Linked DNA regions of Drosophila melanogaster. Changing the gene in region 3 together with the main gene of any one other region gives a genetic interaction. Each region holds a gene or a part of one and is shown on either strand. Other genes may lie near its edges.

What was found.
Region 1: of Pten (region 3) and mTor, changing one suppresses a phenotype caused by changing the other (phenotypic suppression), as found in Drosophila melanogaster (3 studies listed by BioGRID).
Region 2: of Pten (region 3) and rictor, changing one suppresses a phenotype caused by changing the other (phenotypic suppression), as found in Drosophila melanogaster (one study listed by BioGRID).
Region 4: of Pten (region 3) and trbl, changing one suppresses a phenotype caused by changing the other (phenotypic suppression), as found in Drosophila melanogaster (one study listed by BioGRID).

The regions. Positions count from the first base shown.
Region 1 is NT_033779.5:13,002,966-13,007,520, forward strand, and holds the start of mTor (mechanistic target of rapamycin), read left to right. Parts: upstream 1-1,514; 5' UTR 1,515-1,820; coding exon 1,821-2,046; intron 2,047-2,101; coding exon 2,102-2,322; intron 2,323-2,465; coding exon 2,466-3,032; intron 3,033-3,384; coding exon 3,385-4,121; intron 4,122-4,180; coding exon 4,181-4,555. Other genes in the region: Vha68-1 (vacuolar H[+] ATPase 68kD subunit 1), read right to left, coding at 1-355, 619-694. UniProt on the Drosophila melanogaster protein: Promotes cell and tissue growth, maintains tissue homeostatis and controls responses to environmental stress and aging. Regulates growth during animal development by coupling growth factor signaling to nutrient availability. Central regulators of autophagy.
Region 2 is NC_004354.4:19,258,200-19,262,812, reverse strand, and holds the start of rictor (rapamycin-insensitive companion of Tor), read left to right. Parts: upstream 1-1,572; 5' UTR 1,573-1,762; coding exon 1,763-1,826; intron 1,827-2,969; exon of another isoform or gene 2,970-3,068; coding exon of another isoform or gene 3,069-3,096; intron 3,097-3,166; coding exon 3,167-3,377; intron 3,378-3,440; coding exon 3,441-3,986; intron 3,987-4,446; coding exon 4,447-4,600; intron 4,601-4,613. Other genes in the region: Vav guanine nucleotide exchange factor, read right to left, coding at 220-474.
Region 3 is NT_033779.5:10,255,798-10,262,727, reverse strand, and holds Pten (phosphatase and tensin homolog), read left to right. Parts: upstream 1-1,678; 5' UTR 1,679-1,874; exon of another isoform or gene 1,875-2,143; 5' UTR 2,144-2,474; intron 2,475-2,740; exon of another isoform or gene 2,741-3,037; 5' UTR 3,038-3,152; coding exon 3,153-3,252; intron 3,253-3,314; coding exon 3,315-3,487; intron 3,488-3,554; coding exon 3,555-3,699; intron 3,700-3,812; coding exon 3,813-4,000; intron 4,001-4,071; coding exon 4,072-4,179; intron 4,180-4,330; coding exon 4,331-4,493; intron 4,494-4,554; coding exon 4,555-4,664; intron 4,665-4,734; coding exon 4,735-4,950; intron 4,951-5,011; coding exon 5,012-5,333; intron 5,334-5,605; coding exon of another isoform or gene 5,606-5,610; exon of another isoform or gene 5,611-5,818; intron 5,819-6,221; coding exon 6,222-6,241; coding exon of another isoform or gene 6,242-6,275; 3' UTR 6,276-6,409; downstream 6,410-6,930. Other genes in the region: CG5676 (uncharacterized protein), read left to right, coding at 6,913-6,930.
Region 4 is NT_037436.4:20,395,773-20,403,586, reverse strand, and holds trbl (tribbles), read left to right. Parts: upstream 1-1,977; 5' UTR 1,978-2,331; coding exon 2,332-3,161; intron 3,162-6,111; coding exon 6,112-6,736; 3' UTR 6,737-7,299; downstream 7,300-7,814. UniProt on the Drosophila melanogaster protein: Adapter protein that negatively regulates different signaling pathways to coordinate cell differentiation, proliferation, migration and growth.

The DNA.
Region 1 (4,555 bases), 2.7 Mb from region 3:
ATGTGGGATCCCACCCGCACATTCAGCGGATTAAATTCCCACATCTCCGAGCGCGACAAAGCAGTTGTGTTGACACCTTTGGGTATATAGATGGAGTTGGTCATGACACCAATGTCCCGCAAAGGACGTTGGATGCCGTCGAAGATGCTGCCCATAATGCCGGGTCCAAGTTCCACGGAAAGAGGTTTGCCGGTACGCAGCACCGGATCGCCGACAGTCACGCCAGAGGTCTCCTCGTACACCTGGATGGTGGCCATGTCGCCCTCCAGACGGATGATCTCGCCCACCAGCTCGTAGTAGCCGACGCGGACCAACTCGTACATAGCTGATCCAGACATGGCCTCAGCGGTGACCACTGAAGTGGATTTAAAGTTGTTGAAGGAGGAAAAGCAGGAGAAATATGATTAGCAAGGAGTGGAGAGAGCAGCATAATGAGGAAGATTATGCGGAACAGGAGGAGGGGGAAGAAAGCATACAGAAATATGAAAAGGAGAAGGATAATAAGGAAGGATAAAAAGGAAGATGTGGAGGAGTATAATTAAGAACAGAAGAAAGGCAGGATTAAGGATTACAGAACTTGGGGGTCAGCGCATGAAGGACGCTGGTGACGTCGCTTACCTGGTCCGGATACCGCGTAGACACGGCCATATTCCGACTCGCGCTCCTCGTCTTTGAATTTCCTCAAGTTGGACATGGTCGCGGTTGCTGCTCTTCTTCTTCTGCTTCGGTAACGGTCAAATCGTTCGTTGGCTGTGGGAAAAAGTAACCGTTTTTCTTATAAACAAAAACACGCATTTTCCATGCCCCCGAATGAGAGAGCGTTTTCCGCGAGGAAACGCATAGGTGGCGCTGATGTGCAGCAGCAGCCCCCAGTGAAAAGCTTCACACCCCCGCAGCACAGCATCGATTTTCCAATACAATTTTCACACATGCCACCAACGGCAAGGTGAATTTTCCACCTTTTACCCATCACAAAAGCAATTTTCACACTTTCTTTTCATTCAACACCTTGTGGTCAGTGGTTTTGTGGCGTAAAAACTGCTTTTTCAGCTGCTCTAAAATTAAATAAGCTCACATTTGTTTCAACAGCTCTTATGAAAATTCTCTTGCTTTTTTGATTTCACTCTAGTATTGATCTATCGGTTATCGTCGAGGGCTCCAGGTTCTCTATAGAGATGGGCTCACATCAAACTCACGCACGTCACGATACATTAATAGTCGGATTCCACTAGCACATTCCGCAGTTAAATCTTGAAATACTTGTTGGTAATTATTAAAAATTTAACATAAGCTTGCATTTTTGTGCTATTTTCCAAATTCTTCAATGCAACTTGTTCACTCCAGTAATATAAATGTTTTGTACCACAACTTTAAGCCAATTTCTTTTTAATTGCTTATAATAAAGAACAAATTTATTAATTACTTTATTATTTTTATTTAATATGTTCTCTAACATTTTAAATGCTTATAAGTCGCCGCCAAGTACAGAAGTATCAGCAAGAAAATATCGATTGTAAATTGATCGAATTCTGTTTTACATCACTAATCGGCAGCGGCTGCAATAAATTTCCGTAAAAACCGAAGTAATCCGCAATTAAAGAAAGCAAAGGACCTGCATCCGTGTGAGATCGTTCGGCACCGGTGCCGGCACATGAAATCCTATCGAGTGACCAGTGGAACAGTGCGTACAGCGCCCCGGGGCAACTGAAAAGATAACCTCCAAAGTCCGTAGACAGCAGGCAGATGCACCTGCTCCACCCTTTCCCCTCCCAAATGCAAGTGAAAATCGCGTTTAAATAGTGAATAAACCCTGCCCAGCCATGTCGACGACGTCGGTGGTGCAGCAGTTCGTCAACGGGCTTAAGTCCCGCAACCGGAATGTACAGAACAAGGCAACCCAGGATCTGCTCTTCTATGTGAAGACCGAGCTACGCGAAATGTCCCAGGAGGAGCTGGCCCAATTTTTCGACGAGTTCGACCATCACATTTTCACGATGGTGAATGCGACAGATATCAACGAGAAAAAAGGCGGTGCCCTGGCCATGAGTGAGTTCCTGGCTCCCCGGCAGTGCTTGAGAGGATTTAACGTCTTCCCTTTCAGAGTGCCTGATTAACTGCGAGGGCAGTCTTACTGCCAGGAAGGGCATTTCGCCCTATCTCAACCGCCTGCGCGATCTTCTGCTAATCAACGATGTGTCCGTCATGGAGATTGCCGCCCGCTCCCTGGTCAAATTGGCCAACATGCCCACCTCCAAGGGCGCCGATTCCTTCGACTTTGATATTAAGAAGGCTTTTGAGGTGCTCAGAGGCGAGAGACAAGAGGTGAATTATAAGGGAAACCTACAAATTAAGCTTTTAAGTCTGATTTTGAGATGAAGATGGAAAAACTTTATAATGAAAATGAAAATAGTAGTTGTAAGCATGGCTAGAGTTATCCAAATTCATTTATATATTATTTTTTTCAGTACCGCCGCCATTCAGCCGTCTTTATCCTCCGTGAGCTGGCTATCGCCTTGCCCACATACTTCTACCAGCACATCCTGACCTTCTTCGAGGTTATCTTTAACGCCATCTTCGATCCCAAACCTGCTATACGAGAGTCAGCTGGCGAGGCTTTGAGGGCGGCTTTGATTGTCACCGCTCAGCGAGAGAGCACCAAGCAGTCCAGTGAACCACAGTGGTACAGAATCTGCTATGACGAGGCGAATGGAAGCTTCAATGCAGACTTGGGCTCTAGCAAGGATCAGAAAGGCGTGACCCGAGACGATCGCATTCACGGTGGCCTCGTCGTCTTCAACGAGCTCTTTCGCTGTGCCAATGCCACCTGGGAGCGGCGCTACACGTCTCTGAAGACGCTGTTCCCCAAGACCCAACACAATAAGTTCCTGGAGGCCAGCAGTTCGTCGAGTATGGGTTCCCAGCTGAATACTCTAGTGCCGCGGCTAAAGGTGCCCTTCATTGACAAGCTCGGCAGCACCCAAACGCATTTGGGTGAGGGAGAGCATCACAAAGGAGTTGCCAAGTTCGCGAGCGTGAGTCTAACGATCAAATACCTCCACACACGAATGTATTTGTCATTTTCATTTATTTACCTTTTGGTTTACGTAGTATGTACTTTACATGTATCTAAAAACCAAGCGATGCCTGACGGGAGGAAATCAGCTGACCTAATTATAGTTTAAAAATTGTGTAAAATGTAGCAGTAGAGTGTGATTCGTTACCAGTAGTAATTGTGGGGCGGCAATCATTTAGACAAGCATGTTTGTATTAAAATAGTATATTTTCCATTTGTTCATTACAAAAAAGATATTTTAATGTTTGTTAATTTAAAATACAAACTATTTAGTTATGTTTAAGCAAGTAACTAATAATATCGACATCCAGCAGCACAACGTACTGGAGTCCGCATATGCTCAGGAGATCCTTCAGGAGCACTACACCTCCATTTGCGACAATGTTTTGGAGCAGCGAACTTCGAAGTCTCCGTATGTACAGCAGGCACTCCTTCAAATACTTCCTCGATTGGCTGCCTTTAACCGCGCGGTGTTTGTGGAAAAATACCTGCAGACATGCGTGTCGCATTTAATGCAGATCCTGCGAGGCAAGGAGAAGGATCGCACGGTGGCGTACATAACCATTGGTTACATGGCTGTAGCGGTGCAGAGTGCGATCGAAGTTCATTTATCCAGTATAATGACTAGCGTGAAGGTCGCCTTGCCGTCAAAGGATTTGACCAGCAAACGAAAGGTACCAGTGGATCCTGCGGTCTTTGCCTGCATAACGCTTCTTGCTCATGCCGTTAAGTCGGAGATCGCCGACGATGTTAAGGATATCCTTGAGCAGATGTTCTACACGGGTCTCTCGCCAGCTCTGACTGTTTGCCTGAGGGAACTCTCCGAGAATGTGCCGCAGCTTAAGTCGGCCATTACAGAAGGATTGATCGGAATCCTATCCCAGGTGCTGATGAACAAGGCGGCAATTTTACCATACACTGCTTTGCCAACGATCGCCATCGATGGCTCGCTAATGCAGAATGGTGACGGAGCAACCACAGTGCTGGCACTCAAAACGCTGGGTACCTTCAACTTTGAGGAGCAAAACATGCTGGACTTTGTGCAACGGTAATTTAATTTAATTTACTATATTTTAGTTATATTACAAGGTTTGATTTCTTTTTCAGATGTGCTGACTACTTCATCGTTCACGAGCAGCAGGAGATTCGTCTGGAGGCAGTGCAAACATGCACACGACTCCTTAAACTGGCAGTGCAATCCTCTGAAAGTATGGAGAACTCCAAGACCCTCAGCGACACCGTTTCCCACGTGATTGAGCGCCTGCTTATGGTAGCCATTACTGATATGGACTGTAATGTGCGAATACGAATTCTACGTTCGCTGGACGAGACCTTTGATGGGAAGCTTGCTCAGCCAGAGTCTCTAAATTCGCTATTTATTACGCTGCACGATGAAATCTTTGAGATCCGGGAGCTGGCAATGGTTACCATTGGAAGATTGTCGTCCATAAACCCGGCTTATGTGATGCCCAAGCTAAGAAC
Region 2 (4,613 bases), on a different chromosome or scaffold from region 3:
TCGTGCATAAATTTGGCATATTCTATTTCTTTATGAATTTATGATGTTTTGGCCAATTATTGTCACTAATTGTAAGTGATGTTTGTTTTAATGATTTAAATTATTTTTACAGATATACTTCCCCCTATTTCTCTCAGTGTTGCTTGTTTACAAGGTTTAGAGTGTGCCACCCATTCACAATTTGCCAGCAAAGTCACTTGCTTCTCGCATTTCACTCACCTGTGCCATTTGCGGCTTGCGATTGAACTCGCGCGGATCCAAGCTGCTGGGGTCCAGGTGGATGACCAGGTTGCAGAGCAGCACGCCGTCGCGCAGCGTCATCGCCAGGATGCGGATCTCGGCGTCCGGCTGGGCGGCCTTGTGGTCGGGCGGAATGACCTTGCACCTGGTCAGCCAGGCGACGCACTCGCGCCACAGATCCCCGTTCACGCCGGCCACGCCCCCAAAACTGTTGCTGCTACTGCTGCTGGCCATCTCGCAGTGGTTGGGTTGGGTATTACTATATGGATTGGGATTTGGTTTTCGTTTCGGATTTGGAGGAGGGGTTGCGGGTGGGGCGCTGGCGTTGGCGGTGATGGTGTGAAGTGGGGCGCGGGCCCAACTGGCAAGTGTTGGAGGGGGGAGGAGGAGGGTGGGTGGGTGCTACTCGCGTCGCGTTAATGGACACAATTGAGACTCATCAGTTGGCCGTTGCGATTGGATTGGTGAACCCGAGCACAGATACACAGAGCAAAAACGGAAGGCAATGAAGAGCACAACACTAGCCAACACCACACACAACAAAAACAACGATTTCGGGACAATTCGAGCGTAGTGGGGTGTATCGCGTTCGCGAAGGGCTCACCCTGTGCACCGGATACGCGCGAACAGTGCTTGCGGCTGCCGAGTTGCTCAGAAAGTGCTCGCCACTGTGGTTTTAAAACTAATTTACTTTATTGCAAAATATTGCGTTTATCGAAGAGGAAGAGCATACTCGACTTCGATAACAGTCTGGGCGGCCGTGTAACCGCTTGCGGCTCCTTCGAAAATACCAACTGCATGTGTGGTATTTACGATATGTTAATAGCATTGTTACTTTGTGACGAAAATTAATTGTGCACCTCGGTATGCTTTAATATAACAAGTTGATGTAAATTAGTAAGTAGAGTAAATACACATGACATATATTGACTCCAAAAAAAAAGTCACCAAATAATCTTGCAGAAGAATATTAAGTAAATTTTCCCTTACAGTATTTGTTTTAATTTCGTAATTTATAATCATATAAAATAGTTCTACGATAAGGAGAATTCCTATCTGGGGGTAATTCAGCTGTCCTCGAATTTCTCAGGTAATATTTTGAATATTTCCGTTCAATTTTTATAATTAGTGCACAAGAAATTCATTATATTACAGACACTAGCCTTTCAGAGGAAGTAAGCAAGCAAAATTGTATGTCAAATGTAAATGTAAGATGTAAGTGTAAAATGAAATGTTTTTCATTGAAAGTCGCGTAAATATTCCAAATTCTCGTGCCCGCGGTGGCGCTTCGTAGTTGGTTTTTTCTCCTGCGCCGACGACGGTCACTTTAAAGCGGCGAGCAATAAAAAAAATGTAAATTGTGCAGCAAGTGAAATTGAAAAGCAATATATTTAAGTGTGATCTGTGTGTTGTGGTGTGTGGGTGTGTGTTCGACATACAGCTAATAGGCGAGCGGGCGACGGCGCCGCACCCGCCTCGCCACGCCCCCATCGGCGAATCGAAAAAGAGGCGAAGCAACGCGATGGCCTCCCAACATTCCAGTTGGCGTTTTGGCAAGCGGAGCAAATTACAATTACGCATCAAAGGTAATGTAACGAATGTGCTAATTGACATCAAACACGGCGACGGTGGCATCGGCATAATGGCGCAATCACTCCGTTCGACGTTTTGTCTCACATGGCTCGCCCCACCGACCCCCGCCATTCCATTCAGTTTGCATTATTTTGCATTACGGCGAGGCATAAGCATTACAGCAGCAGCTGTTGTTGTTGTTGTTGTTGTTGTGGATCTTGAGCCGACCTCATCCCCAACCCCACCTACCCCTCCAGCAGCCTTCTGTTTATTGGACTTGGCCAATAATTGGTAGCAAAGGGTTCTTTTTTTTGTTGACATTGATGGCAACTAGCAACAACAATAATATGTTGTTGAGGGGGGCGGGAATGAGCACACTGGCAGCATTGCCCATAACGGTAACGATGTAGCAGCGATGCAACAGTGATGTACGCATGTATCGACAGCATGGCATTCTGATCAACATTTCTCCTGATCTCCTCAGTGTTTCCTCCGTTATTTATACATTTGTTGTTGTTCTCGTTTCTATTTTCTATTTAGTTTTTATTTTTATTTATGTATTTTTTGGTTTTATTTTGGTTACTTTTGTTGTTGTTGCTGTTGCCATTTGACCAAATTCTTCGACTACATGTTGGCCGATTATTTATAGAACGGTCGCCACAGCATAGAGAGAGCCCCCAAAAACGATGACGCAGCACAAGCAACAACATAGACATTCACTAAACATCGACCATAACAATAACAGCGATAGCAACAGCAGAAACAACAACAATAACAACAGCCACTACTAGAACTACAAAAACAATAACATACGAAATGCTCAGCTTGGTTTCTTCCATTCATCGTGTCCTTCACTCTTTCGTTCTTCTTCGCTCGTCATGCTCTCTCCTTTCTCTCTCTCTCTCTCTCTGTCGCTCTCCCCCTTTTCCAACCAAATCCATCATGCAAGTACAGTTAGCTGTAACGACGACAACTGCAACAACAACGAAACTGTTATGACGCTGTGTTGTTGTCATTTCACGTGCACAGCCTGCGTCAGCGTCGGCAGAGACAGAGGCAGCGGCTGAGCTGATTAGCTTTCCACGATCCACGATCAATTTCACTTTGATGGCTTTCTAATGCAAGTCGCTGTGTGCATGCATGTGTGCACCTCCTCTTGACCGTAAAAACCCCATGTACTATGATGATTTGAACATGTGCATATCCGAAAAAGCTATTACTTGCAAATAATATTTATGTAATATTCAAGTACATCGATGTGGCCATATTATTCATTCATAAAAGGTTGTTTTAATTAGTAATTAGTGTGTACGGATCTGATAAGAAAAGCAATGAAACTTTTCCTCCATTACAGTTTCGCAGGATCCGGAGGACTTCTACCGCCTGGATCCACAGCGATCGGCCGCCGAAAATGCATTCGAAATATACTCGATGCTCTGTTTGGAGGAGACGCGGGACACGAAGCGCCTGTTTCTGCTCAACGCGCTGGCCTCGCTCTGTTTGGGGGCCCGAAAGGGCTCCCACCACAGCAATATACGCTTCACCACCGAGGAGCTGCTCTACTGGTAAGATGCCCGTTGGGGAAACCATTGTTCTTAACATGGCTAATTGATCGCCCTTAATTGCAGCCTTAGTGCCTCACTGGTGCACACCTTCACCCAAGTGCGAGCGGCGGCACTGCGAACGATCCGGTATGCCATTAGCACGCCCAATGACATCAAGACGTTCAATGCACTGCAGCTGCAGCACCTGCTCTGCCGCTCCATCGATCTAATGCTGAAGAACGACGACGAGCGCGTCCAGGCACTGAAGCTGGTCCGCAAGATGCTGGCCATCGCGCCGGAGGACATCAGTCCGGCGGTGGTGCGCTGCCTGGTCTCGCTGGCGGATAGCGGCATCGAGGAGAACGACAATCTGTTGCGTGCCTGCCTGGCCACCCTGGCAGAGTTCGCTGTGCTCAATCCGGCGCTGCTGATCGTCTGCGGCGGCGTCACCTCCATAACCCGCAATGTGCTAGAGTGCCACAATCCCCGCATCGCTGAGAGCCTGTGCGGCGTGCTTCTGTACCTGCTCGAGTGGCCGCAAACGAGGAACATCTGCGGTGTGCGGCTGGACTGCCTGGCAGCTCCTTATTGCGATTTCACCTACCGGCAGAGTATCGTCGATAAGAACAAGTGAGTGCCCTAGTGAAGATCCCACCAATCCCTCCTTGAATACTGCAGCTTGGCTGCAGAATACTACAAATGGGTTACCCAAAACAAAAAGCAGTTTATCAAGCCAGATGTAAGACGGATCCACTTCACTCATTAATTCGCCGAAAGTAATTTAATGTAGAGTAATTATATCTGCTGTTGAATTGTAACCAAATAATCGATGAACATCACGCCGTCTTTTGAGATTATCAAACAGCGGATGCAAACATGAAATTCTAAAATAGATAACTAAAGGCAGCACGGCCATTGACCTCGTTTCATGCTCTAAATGAGTAGTTAAATCGGGCGAAACACTTTTGGAAAATCGAACAAGACTATCCCACAAACATCTACTGAAGTTTTTTCACAAGATGTACTACTACAAGTTGTAGATAAGCGCTATCAGTTACATCATTCTTTTATAAATAAAACTATCTTTCAGGGATGCGCGCGAACTTCGCTACACCAGCTGTCGGCTGGCACTGCTGTCTGTGCTGCGCAGCTGGACGGGCACCCTCGAATTCTGTGATCCTAGCAAACCCTCAGGCCTGAAAGCAATAGTCGACGCTCTGTATTTGAACCAGATCGAAGTCAGAGTGAGTACATTCC
Region 3 (6,930 bases):
AAACATTTAAAATCGTAGCATTCGATCGTTTTCGATCGTCCAACAGATTCCCTCATTCCCCCACATCAACAACAACAACAGAATGATAAAAAAAAAAGAAAAAACAAAAAACTGATAGTCGTCGTCTCTTCATTATTTATTTAACGAATACCCATTAACATGACAATTGCAAGCACGTAAAATTTAAGTTATAACGTAGAAAACTAGTAAGAAAAATACGCTAAGACTCGAACAACGTCAAACCAAAATCTAGAAGTACGCAATTTTAATAAAGGAAATGCGGAACAGTTTCTCGTATACATAAAAGCTTTCGCAAAATAATTGGTCTAAAACATTAAAGAATTTTGAGAACTCGGAATTGTGTAGGTGTTCATTTTTACAGAACCTCTTATAACCATCGTAATAAACCCTACGAAATGAAGCAGTCAGCAGTCCGAAACTGGTAAGAAAGCGTTTTCGAAAATCTGCTTTGTTTTCTGAATCTCGAAAACCTAAAAAGCAATAACCGCCAAGTGTTTACAAACAAATCATTGACTTTACGTTTTGGTAAGAAATATTGCATGTGTACTATCCATCGATCTAACTTTTTACCTATTAAGACAAATACTATACAAATCTATAACTTATTGTAGTTGGGTCGAAACGGCAAAAATCTAGCCAATGCTGCAAGCAACTATATTAAGCGCATCGGTTTTAATGTTTATGTTTTATTTCATTTAACTAAATTAACAGGTCATTTGTTGGAGTATCTCTTAACGTCACTTTCAGATTTATTAGATTGCTTAAAGTTCAAAACATAGCTAAGCAATACTTATGATAACGACGATTAGTTAGTTAGCCCAAGGGGCTATTAAATATTTAAACGATGGACTGCAGAAACTTTTTAAACAAATAAAAAGCGAGACAAATAAATGAGAAATTGGTTAACACGGCAAAACACTTGTTTTTATTTCTTCGTCTTCGAGTCCTTTTTGCTTCAATAACATTTACTGATGATTGGCCTATTTTGATTTATTCAAGTTACGAATTAAAGTCAACAGTTGAGAATTAAGTGGTACCAAGAATTCATTTTGCGGAAACCAACTAGCCTTAAGATACGAGTGTAATTTTTAAAGTTTTGAAAATTTTTTAAAATTTTAAATTATTCAGATAGCAGGTTTTGCTTTTGAATAAAGGAACTTTAAATTCCAATCATATTTATGTCAAAATAATCGAATACCCATAAAAAACCTGTTGCACTTTTATCGATTGTAAATAAAAAAAGAGAGGATTACATTAATGGTATTACCCAAACTGATAGTTTTCAATAGCATTTCAATGGCTGGAAAAAAAAATAAATAAAAGGTATTCGTAAATCTTAAAAATGTTTGCGTTTTAAAAAATTGCATACCAAAAATAATATTGGTTTTGCAAGAAATGGAATTTTTAATAGCTGTAGCAATATTAGTTTCGTGGGTAGAACTCGAGTAAAAGATGTGTTGGTAGTCATGTTTTTGGTAGCATGAAGTTATATGTGTGTTGTTTAATAAGATTAAAATAAATGCATAGATAATTACATATTGTTTAAAACCGCAGTGCTAAAAAATAAATGGTTGTATCGATGACCCATCGATAGTTTTTGCATACACAATTTAATCGAGAGGGCACCACGCACGTCGATAGCACTGGATGTACATTTTCTCAAATCTTGTGGTGGTATCGCTCGCCGTAAACACCCTGTGGATCTCACGCTTGATAAATTAATAATACATTTAATAGAGCATGAGCGCTACTGTTTAACTTTTACACATAATTGAAAAGTTTTATTTGAAATTTCGTGGCTTAGAGCAAAACATGTGATAGCTTTTTGAAATGCAGTAGCCAGAACCTGCTCGGTTGGAACATTTAGCTTATTGACTTAAACATACCCATATGCACATACATACATATGTATTAAACAGTGGGCACATATATTCGTGTGGTGCTGATAGTGTAAATGTGTAAAATGTCTGTGGAATTGTAAATATGTTTTTGTTTAAACAAATATGTACATAAATGCACAAAAATCGGTGCATATATGTGCACATGCCCATCATCCATATCTGCATATTTCTGTACATGCATATGTGCTCTAACTACAATACATACCACCATTCGCAAACAGTTTGTCAAAAAAGTGTGTCTACTCGGCGAGATAAAACAAAAAACAGTTGCCAAATCAGTCGCTATGTTAAGTAATTCGAAATTACTGCTCGGTGTTTCTAAAACGGATTTTGATTTTGATTTTCACCCCTCGAAAATCGCCCCCTCAGCCAACGAACCCATTTAATTGCTCGAATTCGTATCGAAATCGCCGTGCGTTGGGCTTCAATAAAAGAACTCTGTTCTGTTAGCCAGTTACAATTAAAACCAGGACCATTTGACAACCAATCTGAATGTATTATGCCAAGCGGAAGATTGTTATATTGTTTATCTTTGATAATATGCCGATACATGTAAGTATGTTTCACGTGTGTGCCGCAAATGCCTGCCTGTGTGTGTGTGTGTGTGTATGTACATATGTGCGTGTGCATGTGCGAGTGTGTGTGAGTGTGTGCATGTTTGTGCTAAGGATATTTGTGGATATATAAACCGAACTGAAGTTAACTCTTTACCTGTTCCTGGGAAAACAAGTAGGGAACTATTCCTATAGAGAGTGCACCTCTGTCTGTATGTGTATGTACGTGCTTAAATATGTATCCAAGCAAGAACTGCAAACAGGAATATATCTTAGCCGAGTAAGAAGTATTAGTTTATATAGAACAACCTAAGTGGATCGGGAGAAAACAAGCCCATTATATTAGTTCCATATATCCCTTTAGAATGCCTTGGCACAGTATAATTAAGCAGTTTCTATTGACCATATTAGAAACTTGTCTGCTGTTAAAGGATTTAGGTTTGAATTCGCAGTAGAAAACTAAGCTGAATTGAGTCAATACTTTTCTAACTTGCTGTGGAAAATAAACAGATTAGTTAGAATCATATGCATATTAATTAATATGCTTTACATTCCTTTCAGAACGTACACTTTGCAATGGAGTAAATAGAAGACAAGCACTGGTTCCCAAATACATTTGAATGGATGCAGCTAATCTAATTTAAATAAAAAAGACAAGTCTTTAAACCTTAAAAATATGGCCAACACTATTTCGTTAATGTCCAACGTGATACGCAATGTAGTGAGTAAAAAACGTATACGATACAAAGAAAAAGGATACGATTTGGATTTAACATGTAAGTTATTGAATCAACCGCAATCATTGGAATATTAAATTAAATTATCTATTTACCCACAGACATTAATGATAACATAATTGCCATGGGCTATCCAGCACCGGATAAACTAGAGGGCCTATTCAGAAACCGTCTGGAAGATGTCTTTAAGCTATTGGAAGAGAATCATGCCCAGCATTACAAAATCTATAACCTATGCTCGGAGCGTAGTTACGACGTTGCTAAATTTCGCGGGGTAATTTTGTTGAACTTTTTCTATTTGTCGGCGTAAAATATGTAAAATATACTATTTCGCATTACAGAGAGTAGCTGTTTATCCGTTCGATGATCATAACCCTCCAACGATTGAGTTAATACAACGATTTTGCAGTGATGTTGATATGTGGCTCAAGGAAGATTCGTCCAATGTTGTAGCCGTGCACTGTAAAGCTGGAAAGGGCAGAACCGGTAGGAAATGTGTTCAACATTTTGTGCGAAAGTTCATAAATATCATGGCACACTATGATCTTGTTTCGATATTTGTAGGGCTAAAAAACTAACCCAGTTTTTTTTCATTTCAGGTACCATGATCTGCGCATATTTAGTGTTCAGTGGAATTAAAAAATCCGCCGACGAGGCATTAGCGTGGTATGATGAGAAGCGTACAAAGGACCGAAAAGGTGTGACAATCCCATCTCAGCGTCGATATGTTCAGTATTTTTCCAAACTAGTTTGTTCAAGTGTTCCATATTCGAAAGTAAGCCTTAACGTGAGTATTTCCAGCAGCAGCGCCACATTCAGCGCCGTACAAAATCTAAATATGCATTTTTTGTATCTCAGGTATGTGAAATACGCTTCTCGGAGTCCAGTTGTGTGCAAAACTTAGGCATGGTAGAATGTTCAATATCTGTATTACACGACTCAGCCACAGAAAATGCAAAGCCAGATGTAAGTATATAAAGTATATAGATACATCATTGATAGACTATAGACAGCATTTTAAAAATGTATATTTCACACGATTTCAGTGCAGTAAAGTGTTCCTTTTCGAATACCTTTCTAACCAGCAGTAACATTCTTCTTTTTTTTATAATTGCAGAGACTGAAAACCTTGCCGATTGATTTTCAAAAATCATTTGTTTTGACCATTAAACCATCAATACCAGTTTCCGGCGATGTAAAATTTGAACTCACAAAAAAATCCCCAGATAAAATCATTTGTCACTTTTGGCTAAATACGTTTTTTGTACGAAACTATTCACGTAAGTATACTTAATATCGCACATGCATTAAATAAACGATTTAATTAAACATTCTCTTTAGCTTGCGAGTCCGATGGAACAGTTAACAAATATATACACACTTTAAGCAAATCAGAAATCGATGATGTACATAAAGACAGTGAACATAAAAGATTTTCAGAAGAATTCAAGGTAGGATATTTCGAAGCATTTTAATAGATGCTGCGAAATTACCAAATAAATGTGCTTGCTCTCTTTTCAGATTTCAATCGTTTTTGAGGCAGAGAATTTTAGCAATGATGTTCAAGCTGAAGCGTCCGAAAAAGAGAGAAACGAAAATGTTTTAAATTTCGAAAGATCAGACTATGACAGTTTGTCTCCAAACTGCTATGCCGAAAAAAAAGTCTTAACTGCGATCGTCAATGATAATACAACGAAAAGTCAAACAATAGAAACGTTGGATCATAAGGATATAGTTGTAAGTGAAAACACGTTTTGCGCCGATCAATATGCTTAATCTATAAATCTAATATTCGTAGACTAAAATTCAATACGACACATCAACCAATTCAAAAAATACTTCGACTGCGTGCAAACGCAAACAGCCTAATAGCAAAACTCTTTTACCAAGCTTGAATGATTCCACAAAAGAGGAAATAAAACGAAATCATATATTTAATCAACCGTCCATTAAGAAAACTGATTTAATCAAATGGCAGAATAGTGAAGTTCATATCACCTCTGACACTCGAAGTATAAACGAAAATAAGAACATCAATTACAATTCATACATCACATGTAAACAATCCTCTCCAAAATTCAACTGTGGTACCGAAGATGGCGAGGAAGATTGGGAATCCGGTGAGTTTGCTGCACACTATACTCTCAATGACCAGATCTCACTAAAAATCTATCCGTTTTAATCGAGTAATACCGAACAATTGTTCTAATTTCACATTTATTTAATACTAAGAGTTTCGATTCAATTGATTTCTGGACCATTATCGGTTTGATTTTGTAATTAATTGTATTGTATGAGTATTCAAATTAAGATTTGTTAAAAGAGATAGCCTTTATCGACATATGCTATCGTCCACACATTTATATTCTTATTGACTTATTGAATTCGCCAGAATAATCACCCGAGACGATTTAAAAGACTTCTGGCTGAACGATCTCTTAATTTTGATGTATAAAACGAAGCCACCAGAACTGGATTTATATGTCCCCAAGACTTTTACGAGTATACTAGCAGAGACAGGCTTACACAGATCCACTTCCTTTCACGGGGAAACGATCGATTACAGCTGCGCTCTGCACATCTGTTTAGAATTTAATGTACATAGGTGAGTGAGTGGGAGCCCATGCCTGCGGCTCGAATGGTCAACTAACCGGCAATCCTTAATCAGTATCCGCATCGATTTTCATCACACATCCCTCACCGCTTCATAAGTATGTGACTCTGGGCACTGCCATTGTCCTTCTACTCAATTCATTTAACAAAACTAGCACCGAACTGTCGAACTTCGACTAATTCGACTATTTCACTGTTGCTGTTGAAAACTAAATATCCTGAAGCAGAATGTGTCTTTTGTGTGTTTCATCATCATCAAAAGTCTTCTGCTTTTAATTCATTCATGCTATTTTGATTTTTATCGTATTCTCGTTGAGTTTTAGTTAATAAATTCATTAAGCTTGTTTGAGCAAAAAAATCTAAACTAATAAATGAATATTTTTCTTTATTTCCAGGTGAATCAACATACCTGTAATCAATGCTTATTACGGACTTATAATTCTTGGTGATTTAGCAAAGTAATTAAAATTGCTAAGTAATTGGCTAATCTATTCGAATTTGTAAATATACTGTATGATATTTATTTAAGTAGTTTTAACAATTATTTTAAATAAACTCATGTACATTTTGTATTGTAGATTTCATTCGAACTTTGGGTTTTTGTCTAAAGTAAGGGGGGAGAAATAATTGACGTTTAGAAAAAAATACTTAAATTTATAGTTTTGATCTCGAAACTAGTTTTCGACACGAAAAGTGCAGCGATTAAATGGATATCTCATATTTTATTGGAATTTAACTAATAGTTTCAAATGAGGCAATAGCTAAGATAAATAAATAATAAGAGGTTCTTGAAATTTGCCAATTGTTGTGCAAAGCATACAGGATTCACAAAGGTAATTATCAGATTAATAATAAATATTCAAAGTATGATTATTCCAGTTTCTACGTTAAGTGCTACCAGTTATTTTTCTTACTCTTTTTCCCATAATTCCCCTAACATATGTTCCACTTCCGAGTTCCAATAAACCCAACACAAAAATGTTGTCCAAATTGACGCTATCTTGACGGGCATATATTATTGTGTTAAATTGACGTAAACTGGGCGGTCAGAATTTCGCATCTTAACGTCGACATCTAATTTTAAAAATGACTAATTATTCGGAA
Region 4 (7,814 bases), on a different chromosome or scaffold from region 3:
AAATGATCAGGCCTATTTAATCGTATAAGTGAGTGCAGTGACCAGAGTGAAACATTAATTGCTTGCAAATAAGTATGTCGTATGCAAATAAAATATTTTTCAAATTCAATTTGATGTCGCCACCCCTATAATTTCCCCCCTTTTCGGTTGCATTGGTGTCACGGTACCAGTATAATTCTCGTTTCAATCTTCCTTTCGAGAAACAGATGCAAGACTTTGGAAAAGGGACGGGCGAAAAGAGAGGTTTGTTGGTGTTATTTGTTCTGTTCGCGATTTTCGCATTCGTATTTATCGGCTACTTCGTGGGAAGAAGAAGCAAAGACGGACGTTGCGTTTCAAAAAGAGCGTTACAATATGAAGAATTCAATCGAAGAGATCGGTGAAAACCAATGGACGAAATACAAGCCTGCATAAACAGTTGCGGTGAAAATATTAGTATTCAAAATCCCAGTATCCCAGAATGAAAAAATTCAAAACTAAATGAGTTATATCTAACCTACAATTGTACCAATTCTATCAACGATTTTAAAAATACATTTTTCAGGTCTTTTAGTCCAACAATTCGGTCTTAAAAATTATATTTAAAGACCCTCATTTCCAATTACTAAAGATTCGATTGCGATAGTTCCTATTATTGTGACCGCGAATGTGCTCCTGTGTATCCTCAGACGGATGTCTTTAGTGGGAAATCACCTTGCGCCAGCTGCAACTGCAACTGCATCGCATGTACAGCCCTGCACCGATGCACTATATCTGCCATATAGTGCTTAGGGGTGGAATAGTGCAGCTGACATATGTATGTAGGAATCTACCTGCGACATAATGCCGCTCGGTGGTTCTTACCTGCTCCTTGAGGATCTCGGATAACTGCCTTCTGTTGCTGTCGTAATTCCTGCGTAGCCCAGTGATCCTCGTTTCGGACAGCTGCAAAAATCATGAAATCGTCTGCACCGCGAGGTAAACAGCAAGGTAAATCCACATACACACACACAAATGAGTAATGATCTCGCACAGGAAAAAATTCAATGATCGATTTGGATCCAAGAGATTGAAGCGTTATTTGAAGATTCGAGTTTGGGAGCATTTATTTAAATTCTAGGATTTACTAGAACTATGTTTGTACATCTGAAATGTCCATCTGTGGTCATATACTTAGGGATATAAGAGATCTTAATCTGGAGTATTAAGAAGACAAATTTCTTAATTTTAAATTTGTATGTATATTAGGATATTAAAATGTTTTATGTTTTATGTTTTTTTATAATAATAGTAGTTTGCAAAGCAACTACTCAAAAACTGCACATCATCATTGAATTTGGTTTAAAAATTTCGTAACTATGGGAAAACAAATAATTTCAACCAAACTTGTAAAATATTACCTTATCAGAGCAGGAGAAAACCTTAAGTATCCAAGCCAAGAAACCACAAAAGATATTTTCGAGTTATAGAGATGGTTATACGGGTGTTTCTGCCTTCGATATCCGTACCCGTACTCAATAAAACAAAATCGAAGTTCAAGCTGACTGTACTTTCATTAATTTGATCTTAAAACTGTGGATTTTATCAGTTTACTAACCCCCTCTAATTAACTTATCGCCACGATTTATTGGTGCGCAGATTACTACGTAAAATCGTAGAAGAAAAGTTTAAGGGTTGCTGTGGGTATAGTGTTCATACAGCTACGTATTTCGAATTCAGTTGGAATCGGAATTTCAGCGTTCAGCGCAATTTTTTCAAAAATAACGATGCTCTTGTTCTTTCTCTCTCTCCCAACCATTTGGATTTCAAAAAATAACGACGCTCTCTGGTCTCCCACTTCTCTTTCCATTCCGACCGCATTGAGCTAAATTCCTGCAACGGGTGTGAGCGAGGCAGAGAAGGATCGGTGCAGTGAGAGCGAGCAAGAGGGTGCGAAAGAGAGCCGTTGTATTTCGCCGTTCTCTTCGCTTCGTGCTTCTTCCGACCGCGTGGATGGTCACATTTGAAATTCAAACTGCGGAGAAGACGGTCGCGTTCGTTTCGTTTCGCGAGTTCAGTGAGCAGCGTCCGATTTGTTTTAAAATCGCCGCATTTCGTCAGTACCCGCATTGCAAATGGCCAAACTACCGAAGTAGTAGTAGCCCTGAGTTTAAACGAGAGTTTAAATCGAATTTAATCGGAGACTAAACGGCGCGTCGCTAAATGTCAAAACAATTAACAGCCAAGTACAGCCAGGCTAAAGCGGAGTAACAAAATTAGTAAGAAGAAGCATTAGCAGAGAATAAGACGAAGAAAACGTAGCGAGAGCAAGAACTGTGATAAAGTTAAGTGAAGTGGTAAACACAAGCAAGCATGGATAACAGTAGCGGTCAAAACAGCAGAACGGCTTCGTCAGCGTCCACAAGCAAAATAGTCAACTATTCGTCACCAGTCTCGCCAGGAGTCGCAGCCGCCACCTCCTCATCCTCATCATCCAGCAGCAGCGGCATGAGTAGCAGCCAGGAGGACACCGTACTGGGATTATTTACGCCCAAAAAGGAGTTCCCCAATGCCAAGATGCTGCAGACCATCAGGGAGAAGCTAATGACGCCCGGCGGAGCCTGTGACCTTCTGGCCCTGGGCATCGCAGCGGAACCCACAGACCAGCAGCCCGTCAAGCTCATCCAACAGCGTTATCTGATCAGCGCACAGCCTAGTCACATATCGGCCGCCGTGGCTGCCAAGACTCCCGCCTCGTATCGCCACTTGGTCGATCTAACCGCCTCCAATCTGCGCTGCGTGGACATCTTCACCGGGGAGCAGTTCCTCTGCCGTATTGTAAACGAACCGTTGCATAAGGTGCAACGAGCCTACTTTCAGCTGCAGCAGCACGACGAGGAGCTACGCCGGAGCACCATCTATGGCCATCCACTGATCCGACCCGTGCACGATATCATACCGCTTACCAAGGATCGCACCTACATCCTCATTGCGCCCGTGCCCCAGGAGAGGGACTCCACGGGTGGGGTGACCGGGGTGTACGAGAACCTGCACACCTACATCCGCCACGCGAAGCGACTGTGCGAGACGGAGGCGAGGGCCATATTCCACCAGATCTGTCAGACTGTTCAGGTGTGCCACCGCAACGGGATTATCCTCAGGGACCTCAAGCTCAAGCGGTTCTACTTCATCGACGAGGCCAGGTGAGTTGCGTGTCCAGGTGACACCTTCGAAAAACCCATATACACCAATATACGCCACATATGCCTGACTTATACCAACTCAATTGCATATGGCTGGCTAGTCGGTTTATTTTGCAATTCGATGGAAACTCGTTATGAGCGAGAGATCTTGTTTGTGGTCGTGTGTTGGTGGTGCCACAATTGTTGCTCTTGTTATTGGCCCATGTTGTTGTAGTTGCTGCTGCTGCTGCTGTTGTTGCTTTTGTTTTTGTTGCTGGCGCCGTCGTTGTGGGTAACATTGAACATTTAACAAGTGTTGCAATCGAATCACCAATAGGCCAACAACAACAATTATACTGACAAACCGAATGAACGCAAGGCGTACGTATGTACAGCACAGGGTATAATGGTAGTTTCAAACTAATTTTATAAGTAAAAATATATTCCTACTATGCGAAGCATTGCAAAAATGAATGGGAATAAGATCAAAAATGTTAAATAATTTCAAAGATAAGTTTTTGAAATACACCTATTATTAAACTATTAATTAACATGGTGTATTAGCTTTGTAGCTAAAGAATTATTATTTATGTAATATCATTGAATTGCCATTCAGTGAGCAAGCATATGCCTTATTTTGCAGACCCCGACTGTATCTCTGTGTACATACTCGTACACAAGGGCCCAATGTGCCACACTGATGGCCAAAATGTTGGCTCACTCGTTTTTTCATTACACATTTCGGAAGCTAGAAATTGCCACATTTCAAGAATTGTTCAACATAGCATTTGCAATATGGTTTTGGGGTGGGGATCTGTGGGCCACGTACTCGGCGTTCGCTTGATTTGTCGATTTCCCGTGTGTGAGTTTACAGTGGATGATGAAATATTGACCCCACCTTCATCGAAAATGTATTTTCGCATATGTTAATTAACACAACTGTATCGAAAACGCGCTGTCTCCCGTTCTTATTATCTTCGAAATTGTACTGACATCAGCATGGAACGACTTGAACATTTGGTCGATTTCGTATGACTCTGCAATTAGCGCAATATCTGCTGATTTTTTCGTCATTTCGTCGTTCTGTGCCAAGTGCAAAACGGCGGAAGGAAGAAACCAACCCATAGATCTCTATCTATACTATACTTCTCTCACCTTGGCGAGAAATAAACAACAAGTGTTCAATACGACTCAAATGCGCTGCGATTACTGGCGCTCACTTCCATTCCCATTTCCATTCGAATAATACATCGCTATATAGATAAGTGCTCGCTGGGTGTACATACATACTATATGGGCTATGGGCGTGGCCATATCCATATCTACATATGTCCAACGGGGCGGCCACACACACGCACAACCAAATAACGAGCCGAATTTTTAAGGTCACAGTGCGGTGAATGTCCCTGACTCTGATCTTCTGTATTTGAACGCATTTATGTACATGCATATATGCCAGTGCCTCCCATATACAAATGCGTATGCTTATGCATGTAAAAATCTCTGGTTCATACTTTTATTTTGTCTACTCTTTTGCCGTACGTAAATACTTCCAAGGTGTTTGAGCATTTATGCGGCGCCGGTTTTCCGTATTTCGTTTCGATTCCGATTTTATTTTAACCTCTGTCGCGGGTTAATGTGTGCCAAACGTATAGAGCGAGAGAGAGAGAGAGAGGGAAAGAAGAGATCCACAAGACGCTCTTCAAAGCTCGGTTATGTCGCGCATCGAGGTCAGCAGCTGTAACTATTCTCCTCATCACATCTCCACCTGCCTTCCGTGCACTCAAAAATATAAATATTGGTTCACATAAAACCTTGATCTTAAAAGTATAATTATATATGCTTGCCTTGATCTTAAATATAAGTTTATAATGTTTCTGTATCGAATGGGGTAACTAGACGATAGAGGACACAAAAATCAAATGAAACCCGAAAACAAATGTATAGAAACATGCTCTTAATTAAGAACCGTGTTCTTTGAATATATTATTTAAATGCGCTATCTCTTTTCCCTCTTATTGATTGCCCACCTGTTGCTATCAAGTTGAAGGTAATTTGTTTCTTTCAGTGTACACTGTGATTTGTGCCGAGGAGAGGCGCGTTTTCAAAGCTTGTTTTTGTTCAGGGTCAGCTCGAGGTTTTTTTGGCCTGCTTTGTGTTTGGCTCTTTGGATGTTTGGATACCAGACCGCGGCGACCGTGTGTTTGTATATCGCTCCGTTCGCTATCGGCGGAATACCCAATGTTGGTAGTGGTGCTCGGGTCCCAGCAGAAGCGCCGTTGCAGCAACAAGTTGCGATACGTCACTCCACCTCACCTTACTACTCACGCAGCTCACACAGCGGACTCTCTTTGGATCTATGCGCTGTGCTCGCTGGCGTTTTCGTTACTTTTTTGCTTTTTGCATTCGAATGTGGGCCAATGTCAATGGAGTGGAGTGGCCCAATGGAGGGGGAGTGGAGTGGAGTGCAGGGGCGGAGGCGGCGGCGGCGGCGGCACTCGCTCATGGGTGTCGGGGGTCGCAAGCTGCGCTTTCGTCACCAATCCAAGTCAACTCAGCTCAGCTCACAATGTGCTCTCTCGGCCAATTTGCCTTTTGACTTGTCAATACGCCAACGCCAAAGACAACTACAACTGAAACTGAAGCTCCGTGGCCGATCGATTCAAGTCTCTTCGATATTGCGCTAGCTAATGGCCCCACAAAATCGGGGGTTATGCAAGTCCCAGGGATTGCACATGATGTAGAGCTCGACGATGGGTCTGATGAACGGGTACAGTTGCGATCAGAATAGTGGCAGTGCCAACTCAAGTTGCAGTCATATCTACTCTTCTTTGGCAACAATAGTTCTCAACATATTAATAGAAACGGGTAAAAAAAAGACTGTTAGTTTTATTTCTAAGAAGCATAAACATATATTTTGTACCCTATTTTGGCGGATTATTTATTCGATTTTGTCATTTGCTAATTACAGAACGAAACTGCAGTATGAATCACTGGAAGGCTCAATGATCCTCGACGGCGAGGACGATACTCTGAGCGACAAGATCGGTTGCCCACTGTACACCGCTCCAGAACTGCTGTGCCCCCAGCAAACGTACAAGGGCAAACCGGCGGACATGTGGTCGCTGGGCGTGATCCTGTACACCATGTTGGTGGGTCAGTACCCGTTCTACGAGAAGGCCAACTGCAACCTCATCACCGTCATACGCCACGGGAATGTCCAGATACCCCTGACGCTGTCTAAGTCGGTGCGATGGCTGTTGCTTTCGCTGCTGCGGAAGGATTACACGGAACGAATGACCGCCAGCCACATCTTCCTTACCCCGTGGCTGCGAGAGCAGCGCCCCTTCCACATGTACCTGCCAGTCGACGTGGAGGTGGCCGAGGACTGGAGCGATGCGGAGGAGGACGAAGGCACTGCCGCCGATGCGATGGATGATGACGAGGAAGGACTCTGTCCCTTGGGTGACAAGCACGAGTACGAGGACATTGGCGTGGAGCCATTGGACTACACGCGCTCCACGCTCCAAATGGCTCAGAATGCCAATGGGCTGTCCACGGAACCCGAACCCGATACGGATGTGGACATGGGCTGATTGGAGCTCGTGGAGTCACCCACGGGTTGCATTCTGGGACACGCTGGCGCGTTGGCTGCATCCGGCTGAATGCCGACTGATTAGCCGCCGGGACTGGGCATATCGGATGATATGACACTGTGGACATCCTGGCCTTCCGGGTCGCGCCGACTCCGACTGCGTTCCACGTCGTCTTCCTGCAGGTGGTACTGCCAACAAAGACTTAAAGCTTAGACACACAAGAACTCACTGCCTTCCAATCGCGCTGCAGCCCCGATTCGATTCGTTCAAGAATCACGCCGCTCCGCAGCCTCCTCTCTGCAACCGATTCTTCCTAAAACCTACCTATGTACAATACATTTAACATTTTAATTTTTTTGCAAACTGTTGATCTTATCAAAGGACAGTCGCCCTGATTTGCTTTTGGGCTTTAAAACACATTAGTTTCCATGTTAAAAAATGCAACGAATGCAAATTGTTATTTATTATTTAATACTTCTGTATTACGCTTTGTGTACTCTTAAAATCTTGTAAGTGAAAATTGCAAAAAAGAACATAATACATTGAAATTTGATCTCACCAAGAATAATTCGAATTTGTTTCTTTAGGGCTCTGGGGTAAAAAACGCTGTTTTTATTTATTGACACAAGATTGTAAATATTTATAAATGTGTAATTAGTCAACCAGACTATGAGCTTAACATGAAGATTCTAGATTCTCAAGAAGCGGAAGGCTACAAAAGATGAAAACAATGAGTCAGGGGAAAATACGATTTTTTGGTTCTAGATGCGTCATATTGTGTACTAGTAAAATTCAACATTTGATTAAGATCAGATAATGTTTGGTCAAAAATATGAAAACAAAACTGTCCAATCTATTTTCTTCATGAAGGAGATTAATGAATAGTTCACGTCACAAAATCGAGAATTCTCTCGAGTGTCGAAAGTCAACAAATTAGTTATTGTTGTTGCTGAGATTCCCATTACCGAGCAGCAGATTCCCAACCTGATAATGCAACCCAGTGACTGGAAGTTATCAGGTGGGCGAACGTGACTTTGGCTACGGAAATATTTGCGACTTTGCTCCACAATAGCAGTAA